Linked DNA regions of Neurospora crassa OR74A. The protein of the gene in region 1 interacts with the protein of each later gene in a biochemical or structural test. Links are inferred from orthologs where the notes say so. Each region holds a gene or a part of one and is shown in the gene's direction. Other genes may lie near its edges. The genes, in order: NCU09380 and NCU01301.

Evidence for each region.
Region 2: the proteins of NCU09380 (region 1) and NCU01301 form a complex in vitro, tested with the Saccharomyces cerevisiae proteins (3 studies listed by BioGRID). The link is inferred for Neurospora crassa OR74A from reciprocal best matches to the Saccharomyces cerevisiae genes PUF6 and LOC1.

What each region holds. Positions count from the first base shown.
Region 1 is NC_026501.1:3,514,744-3,519,066, forward strand, and holds NCU09380 (pumilio domain-containing protein), read left to right. Parts: upstream 1-1,266; 5' UTR 1,267-1,441; coding exon 1,442-1,679; intron 1,680-1,754; coding exon 1,755-3,556; 3' UTR 3,557-3,782; downstream 3,783-4,323. Other genes in the region: NCU09381 (RWD domain-containing protein), read right to left, coding at 126-742, 814-880. UniProt on the Saccharomyces cerevisiae protein: RNA-binding protein involved in post-transcriptional regulation. Component of the ASH1 mRNP which transports the ASH1 mRNA to the distal tip of the bud, where the ASH1 protein is translated and targeted to the daughter cell nucleus.
Region 2 is NC_026505.1:3,571,473-3,574,796, forward strand, and holds NCU01301 (60S ribosomal subunit assembly/export protein loc-1), read left to right. Parts: upstream 1-1,594; 5' UTR 1,595-1,723; coding exon 1,724-2,032; intron 2,033-2,141; coding exon 2,142-2,462; 3' UTR 2,463-2,809; downstream 2,810-3,324. Other genes in the region: NCU01300 (imidazoleglycerol-phosphate dehydratase), read right to left, coding at 383-795, 879-1,155; NCU01302 (hydrolase), read right to left, coding at 2,967-3,110, 3,165-3,293. UniProt on the Saccharomyces cerevisiae protein: Required for efficient assembly and nuclear export of the 60S ribosomal subunit. Involved in asymmetric localization of ASH1 mRNA.

The sequences.
Region 1 (4,323 bases):
AAAAAGTAATGTTCAGGATTGGTTTTCACATGGGTTAGGTATACTTAGAGCGGATTAAAGCCTACAGCAAAGAATTAGATAATTTTGGCGAACGTGATAGAGGGCTTACGATTTGTCTAACGGTCCTAAACCGTGAGTTTCTGGACCTCTTCCACGGGGACGTCATCATCGCCTTCCAGGTCCTCATCACCCTTCCCAGCCAAGCCCCTCTCCCAGAGTTGTTTGCCCGTGAGCTTGACAGGCTCCTTTATCCTTGCCTTCTTCATCTCGGCCGCCTTTTCCTCTTCCTCCTTGATTCTCTGATCTTCCAGTTCCTGCAAGAAACTCTCCCTCCACTTCAAAAAGGTTTCGCGATTGACGGGAGTGCCCTGGAACTTCTTGTTCTCTTCGCGCTCCGCGGCAAGGGCGGCCTCCTCTTGCGCCTTGATGGCAGCGTCCCTCCGCTCTACTGCCAGTTGCTCCGCAGCATCCTTCAACGCCGACACAACAGTAAAGATCATGGCCATCCCCAAATTCTCTTCAATTGTCTCTTGGATACCTTCGAGCAGCTGGAACCGATCGTCGGCAATGTTTATGTACTGATGGGGCGGCGCATTTGGGGCGGACGCAAGCTCAAGGAAAGGTGGCTTGTCGGGATAGTCTTCGGGGTACCGTACGGTAAGTACCATGCTTGGTGTTTCTTCGGCATCATCATCAGGAATGTCCAGCGTGATAGTAATCCGGTATTCGGTATCGGAGATATCTAGACGAGTCGAGCTTGGGTTAGGACAGGCCCATGCCTGAACGGCAACCGATGTGGGCGAACAATCGAACCTTGGATCTCATCTGGGAAGATGGAGTCGAGGACTTCCCTCTCTTCAATTTGTTCTTCGCGGCCCATGATGTCCAATCGGTAGGGCGCCTTTCAAGTTTGCAGTGTGCTGGACGACATAAAACGTGAAAGACTCCTTCCAAAAGTGGGTGCTGGCAATGTTGACTTTCAGGCGTTTACTAACCTAGAGAAGAGGACGGGAGGGGCAACCAGACGGCATTGCAGTGACTGTAGCGTCAGGTGCAGGCCAAACTCCAAAACGCGAGCGCGGCTCAATCTATGGTGGGGGTCCTGCCTGGGTTCCTTGTTATATCAATGGACAGTTCTAGACAGTGTCGATCAAGTCGCCCCACCACAGAACCCCGGAAAGCTTCTCACCGCCCGGCAGATGCCAGGATGCGGATCCAGAAATTTTCAGCGGAAAACGTGCTACAGAATTTCCAATTCAGAGGCTTCAGATACAGGGCACTCCAAAGTTTCGGATTCCCGTCTGAATACCTGCACTTTCACATATTCCTGCTCGACCATCACCTTTGAACCAGCGCCCACCCAGTACGACGTCAACACGAGCCCCCCATACCTAGATCAATCCTTCATATCCCGGAGCAACACAGACATCGCATAGCATCAATGGCGACCAAGTCGTCTTCAGCAGCCGCTGCCGGCGGAAAGAGAAAGGCGTTCGGCAAGCATAACGAGGATGGCCGTACAAAAGCAGTAAAGACCACTTCTGGCAAGAAACACATCAAGGCCGAAGCCGAAGACAATGAATCCTCCGATGAAAGCTCAGACGCCGAGTTCCACACAGGAGAGACCACAACATCCACGCCCAATGAGTCCGGCAATGGCTCCAACGAGACCAAGTCTGGTACGTTGTCTCTCTTTACCATATCTGCCCCATGATGACCGAACCTCGCTCTGTTATTTGACTAACACAACGCAGGCACAAGCTCCAGGGAGGCGCACGCCAAGCAAAAACAACTCGCCCAAGAACGCAAGAACGCGAAGCCACTGGCCGATGAGGTGCACCGTACCAAGAAGCTGTGGGAGAAGCTCCGTCGCAAGTCGCATGTGCCTAAGGAGGAGCGCCAACAGCTCGTTGAGGAGTTGTTCACCATCATAACTGGCCGCATCAAGGACTTTGTCCTAAAGCACGATGCTGTCCGTGCCGTCCAGACCGCCGTCAAGTACGCCACCCCGGTTCAGCGTAGGCAGATTGCGAAGGAACTTCAAGGAACCTATGCGCAGCTCGCCGAGAGCAGGTATGCCAAGTTCCTGATCGGCAAGCTTCTGGTGCAGAACGACAAGGAGATCCGCGACATCATCGTCCCCGAGTTTTACGGCAAAGTTCGCAAGCTCATCAACCATGCTGAGGGTTCCTGGATTCTGGACGATGTCTACCGCGGTGTTGCGACCAAGGAGCAAAAGGCCAACCTCCTTCGCGAGTGGTACGGTCCCGAGTTTGCTCTGTTTAGGCAACCCAAGGGTACCGAGGTCACTGGCGATCTCTCCAAGATTTTGGCTGACGAGCCCAGCAAGAGGACAACGGCGATGAAGTACCTTTTTGACATGGCCAATGGCCTCATTCAAAAGAAAATGACTGGTTTCACCATGCTCCACGACGCTCTGTTGCAGTACTTCCTCAACCTTAACCCCGAAAGCGAAGAGTTCAAGGAGTTCTTTGAGACTATTAAGGAGGATGAGACCGGCGACTTGCTCAAAAACATGGCATTCACCAAGTCTGGCGCCCGCCTCGTGTGCTTGCTCCTTGCGCACGGAACCGCCAAGGACCGCAAGCAGCTGCTCAAGGCCTACAAGGACACCTACCAGCTCATGAGTGGTGACAATCACGCGCACGCGATCATCCTCGCCGCCTACGATCTCCTTGATGACACTGTCCTCACGTCCAAGACGATCTTCTCCGAGATTCTTGGCAAGAATGAAGAGAAGGATGCCGAGCACGTCATCTTTCTCGCTAACGACCTCAACGCGCGCACGACGGTATTATATCTCTTTGAGGGAATGTCCAAAGCGTTGTTCCCTGCCAGCCACGCCACCGACCTGGAGATTCTGAAGGAGATTCACGAGATCCGCACCAAGACCAGCAAGAAGGACGCCGAGGTTAGGCGTAAGGAGTTGGTGACGGCCATGTCGCCTCAGCTCCTTGCGGCCATCGCAAGCTCACCCGCCGACCTGGTGGCCACCTCTTTCGGTTGCCAGTTTGTTACTGATGTTTTGCTTTCGGCGACTGGAGATAAGAAGGCCGCGTTGGAGGCTATTGCCTCTACTGCCGGTGGCGATCCCAACGCTGAGGCGCCCAAGGATGCCTACCAAGCTCTTCCCCCTCACATCTCGACAACCATTCACGGTGGCCGCATGTTCAAGACACTGATTGCTGGCGGCCGGTTTGACAAGGCCACAGGCAGCATCCAGAAGGTCGACCCCCCGCTCAACTTCGCCGACCTTCTCTATCCCGTCATCAAGGACCACATTGTACAATGGGCCACCGGCCCTAGCTCTTGGACGGTGCTAGCTATGCTCGAGGCTTCCGACTTCTCATCGAAGAAGGAGCTCCTCAAGACCCTCAAGTCCAACAAGAAGGCCCTTATCAAGGCCGCAACTGAAGCACCGGCGTCGAAGAAGGAAGAGATGGAGGAGAAGCCAAAGGCTAAGAAGGGCAAGAATGCTTCTGCCCCCAAGGGCAACCAGGGCTCGAAGCTCCTTTTAGAGAAGCTCGATGCCTAGGTTGAGGAAATTGTAGGCGTCGCATGGCTATAGTGACAAAAGTGGACGGTAGCCACAGGTTGACTAAATACCCCTTTTATGTTGTTTACTTTGTCAATGCGATTTTGTTGGGCCCCGCGTAATTTGCGGTTGACTGATAGCCCTGTTTACAAGTCTGGACATGTTATATATGATTGCATAGAGAAAAGCTTGCTTCCAGACTTCCCTGATGGTTCAGATATGACGCTTGAAACAGGCCGTGGCCTACTTGGAGTGAGGTAAATCATAATTAACCAGACAGGAGCGAGACAACTTTCTTATATTCGCCATTCCGGACCTTGGAAGGCCTTATTATCATACGACCTTCACATTGAACCACTTGTACCACAATTTTCGAGGGACACAACCTCCCCATATCAACATGGCGTGTAGAGGCAAAGTGCTGTGCAAACATTTTGACTGCGGCACCAAGACCGACATATATCGGGTTCACCGTCACTTGATGGCTAAGTGCCGCTTGGAAACCGAATAGAAGAACGGAACTGCCTCAAGGCTACACCCGTGCAAGGCCGCGTATATCCTTGTGCAACGGCCAGCTCACTGAGCGACCATGGCCTGACGGCCTTGCCATATCTGCTGTTCTAGTAGGTAAGACGAGGGTTTCCGAACGGGCAGCCAGCCATGGGTGTCCTCGGTTTGCGTTCCGCCAGGCTTGAAAGCCTTCTTCTCTTTTCGTCGAGATCACATGAGGCACGAGGCCAGACATCTCGGTTCGTTGGCCGGGTTGG
Region 2 (3,324 bases), on another chromosome or scaffold:
TAAATCACCAAGAGGAGGAAAAAGTAATGTACGTCACATGAACGACTGGGTCGTGCGAGGTTCCGTATCATTTCAAGGGATTTTCTTGCGCTTCCACTTTCCCCTCGATCCCCATTCTGTTGTCCGCTGTGGAGCCCGCGTACGTCCGACTTTCCGAAAGGGGAACTTTGTCAACAACCTGCATCAGGGGTAAATTCCCTAGGTATACATTCGCCAATTCGCAACATGTATCTGGTTTTCCATTCTTCACTTCAACTCTACGCCGTCGCTATAGCGAAATGATGGCAGCCGAACATGCGCGCAAAGTACCACGGTAAACGACATCACATGGTATCATTGCACTTCTATATCCAAACCTATAACTAACTCCCTTCCCACTTCCTTATACGCTGAGCGTTCCCTTGGTGCTAGGAACTTCACCCTCGCGACCCGCCACCCGGCTAGTAGCCTGCCTCGTGGCAACCGCAAGCGCCTTGAATGCGCTCTCAGCTCTGTGGTGGTCGTTGTCGCCGCGGAGGCAGTCGACGTGCACGGTAATGCGGGCAGCCCCGGCAAAGCTATGGATACAGTGGGGGATCATCTCGGTGCTGAGATCGCCAATCTTCTCGCGCTTAAGACCGAGGTCGACAACGGCAAAGGGACGGTTCGACAGATCGACGACGGCACGGCTGAGGGCCTCGTCGAGAGGGCAGTATGCGGATCCGAAGCGCGCGAGGCCGGTGGGTGTGCCGAGAGCCTTGGCAAAGGCGTAACCAAGAGCGATGCAGACGTCTTCGGCGGTATGGTGGTCGTCGACTATGAGAGGGACAAAGTCAATTCAGAGTTCTGGATGTTGTTCCACGAGGACTTCTGCGCCCAAGCCAAGTGTGTCTACTAACTGTGAAGGTCGCCCTTGCAAGCAAGCGCAAGACTCCAGCCGGCATGCTTGGCAAGCGCATGGAGCATGTGGTCAAGGAAACCAATGCCGGTATTGACGCTGATAGTTTGCGATTTGCTAGCCTGAGTGGCATGGCCGTCGGCGATACTGACGTTCAAGCGGGCGTCGGTCTCGGGAGGGAATGCGCCGCCATCAAGGTTGAGTGCGATCTGGATCTTGGTCTCGTTGGTGTCGCGTGCAAAGGCGGCCCAGCGGGGCGCGGGCTGTTCGGTGCTCATTTTGTCTGAATAGGGCGTCTGAGACTTCTGGGGACTGTAGACTCTTGGGATATCACCACGGCAGTGTGATCAATTGCGATGTAAGGATGGCGACAATAAAGGTGATCTTGGAAATTTTGGCGATTTCGGAGTGCCACCAGTGAGGGAACGCACCGATAGGCAATCGATATGGAATAGGTACCTCCACTAGTGCTGCCAACCCCGCGCTTACACTAGAAGGAAACTAGAGTTTCCTGCTCGCCTGCCGATCCCCAGCTGCCAATTAGAGATTTCAAGGCAGCCCCACGGCGAGCTGACAGACCCCACTGCCCCGTAACCGCGCTCAGCAGGCGTTGATACAGTGCTATATGCACAAGCTCTAGAGGTACCTTGGATTAACCGCGATAAGATAAGGCAGGGACCAATTCCGGTCCCAAAATTTTCCCCAGAAGTCGACCGAACTGAAGCGACAGCGTACAGGATACATTCGAGAGTATTCGTACTCCATCCACCCATCCATATCCCGAACCACCATTTCATCTATCGTTGATTTCTTACGACCTTATCAACGAATCAACCACAACTCACAATGGCGCCGACAAAAACGATAAAGAACAAGCACGCTGCGAACAAATCCGGCATCAAGGGCAGCAAAGATGCGGAGAGGTCGAGGAACGATGGAGTGCTCAAGTCCAAGGGAAAGCCGAAGGGCAAAGCTCACACTCTCGTGACTGCCAGCAAGGGCCGACCGAACATCCAGGAGCTTATCGCCAGGAAGAAGAAGAAGAAGACCTACAGCGAAAAGGAGCTTGCGATTCCGGAACTCAACATGATCACCCCCGTTGGTGTGACCAAGCCAAAGGGAAAGAAGAAGGGCAAGGTGTTTGTGGATGACAAGGTAAGCTGTCTTTCGTTAGCGTCTGGGGTCATATTGGTTTTTTGTTTTCTTGCTAGGTTTCAAGACCGGAAAGCATCAAGTAACTGACATGTTTTCCCCCTTTGTACAGGAGAGCATGGCCACTATCCTAGCCATCGTACAAGCAGAAAAGGAGGGCCAGATCGAGTCCAAGATGATCAAGGCGCGACAAATGGAGGAGATCCGCGAGGCGAGACGCGCTGAAGCCGAGAAGAAGGAGGCTGAGCGCAAGGCCAGACTCGAAGAGACTAAGGACTCGCTGCGCAAGAAGCGTAAGCGCAGCAAGCAATCGGGCGGTAGCAAGGGCGACGACGACGATGACTCCAGAGATGTCAAGGAGTTCTCGTCTGCGGGCACGAAAGCCGTTAAGTCGAAAAAGAAGAAGTCGGTATCCTTCGCTGCTCCCGAATAAATAATCAAGCAAGGATGCTGGGAGCTTTGAAGGTCCCTCCTGGGAATGGGCTGGGAGAATGAAGACAGGAAGGGTGGAAGTTTGTCGTGTAATACCTACACCAAGCATTTTTTCTTCGCATGTATGGCGTCTGGGCGTTTATATCAATCAAAGTCTGGCGGCGGGTAGGATGGCTTGGCTGGGGGAACAGTTCTGACTGATTTTGTGTGTGGAAATTAAAGATACCAATTGGGCACGCCAGCCTTGGTCCAGCCTCTTTTTCTCATGAGTCGGTAGATGTTATTAGGTGAAACCGTCAGGATGGTGTAGTTCGTGGCTCGCATAAGCCATCAATGAACGTACGTTCGAACCTGTATCCAAGTCGAAAGCGCGAATCTAAGTCTATGTGCAGCCCCAATGTGCCTTGAAGCGCGTCTAGACCCTTTAGGCCCAATCGATGGACCCATCTCTATAGCTAATCTATGTACAGTCTTCGTTCTTTTCAAGTGTTCATTCCACCACCATCTATTGATCCACATCGAGAATCTGCAACTTTCGCTGCACAGGGTCGAAGTGAGTTCTGAACTGGCTATCGAACTTGTCACAAGCATCCGGCTTGATGGCGTCCAAGTCAATATCGAAAGCCATCTTGTTCAGGAAGTTGCAGATCTAGACAACAAATCAGCAAAAAGTTACCGGAAAGTGAGGCAAAAAGAAACTTACAGGACGAGTATGCCATCGTCCGCCACCAAGTTCGAACCATGAAAGATGTCCGCCGAGAGACGTGAGGCAAAGTACCGTGTAGGGGTTCTGCTTGATCTCTTGGTAGGGAATGGCCTCCTCAACAGCGATCTAGTAATTTGTCAGCTCTATACTCATGGGG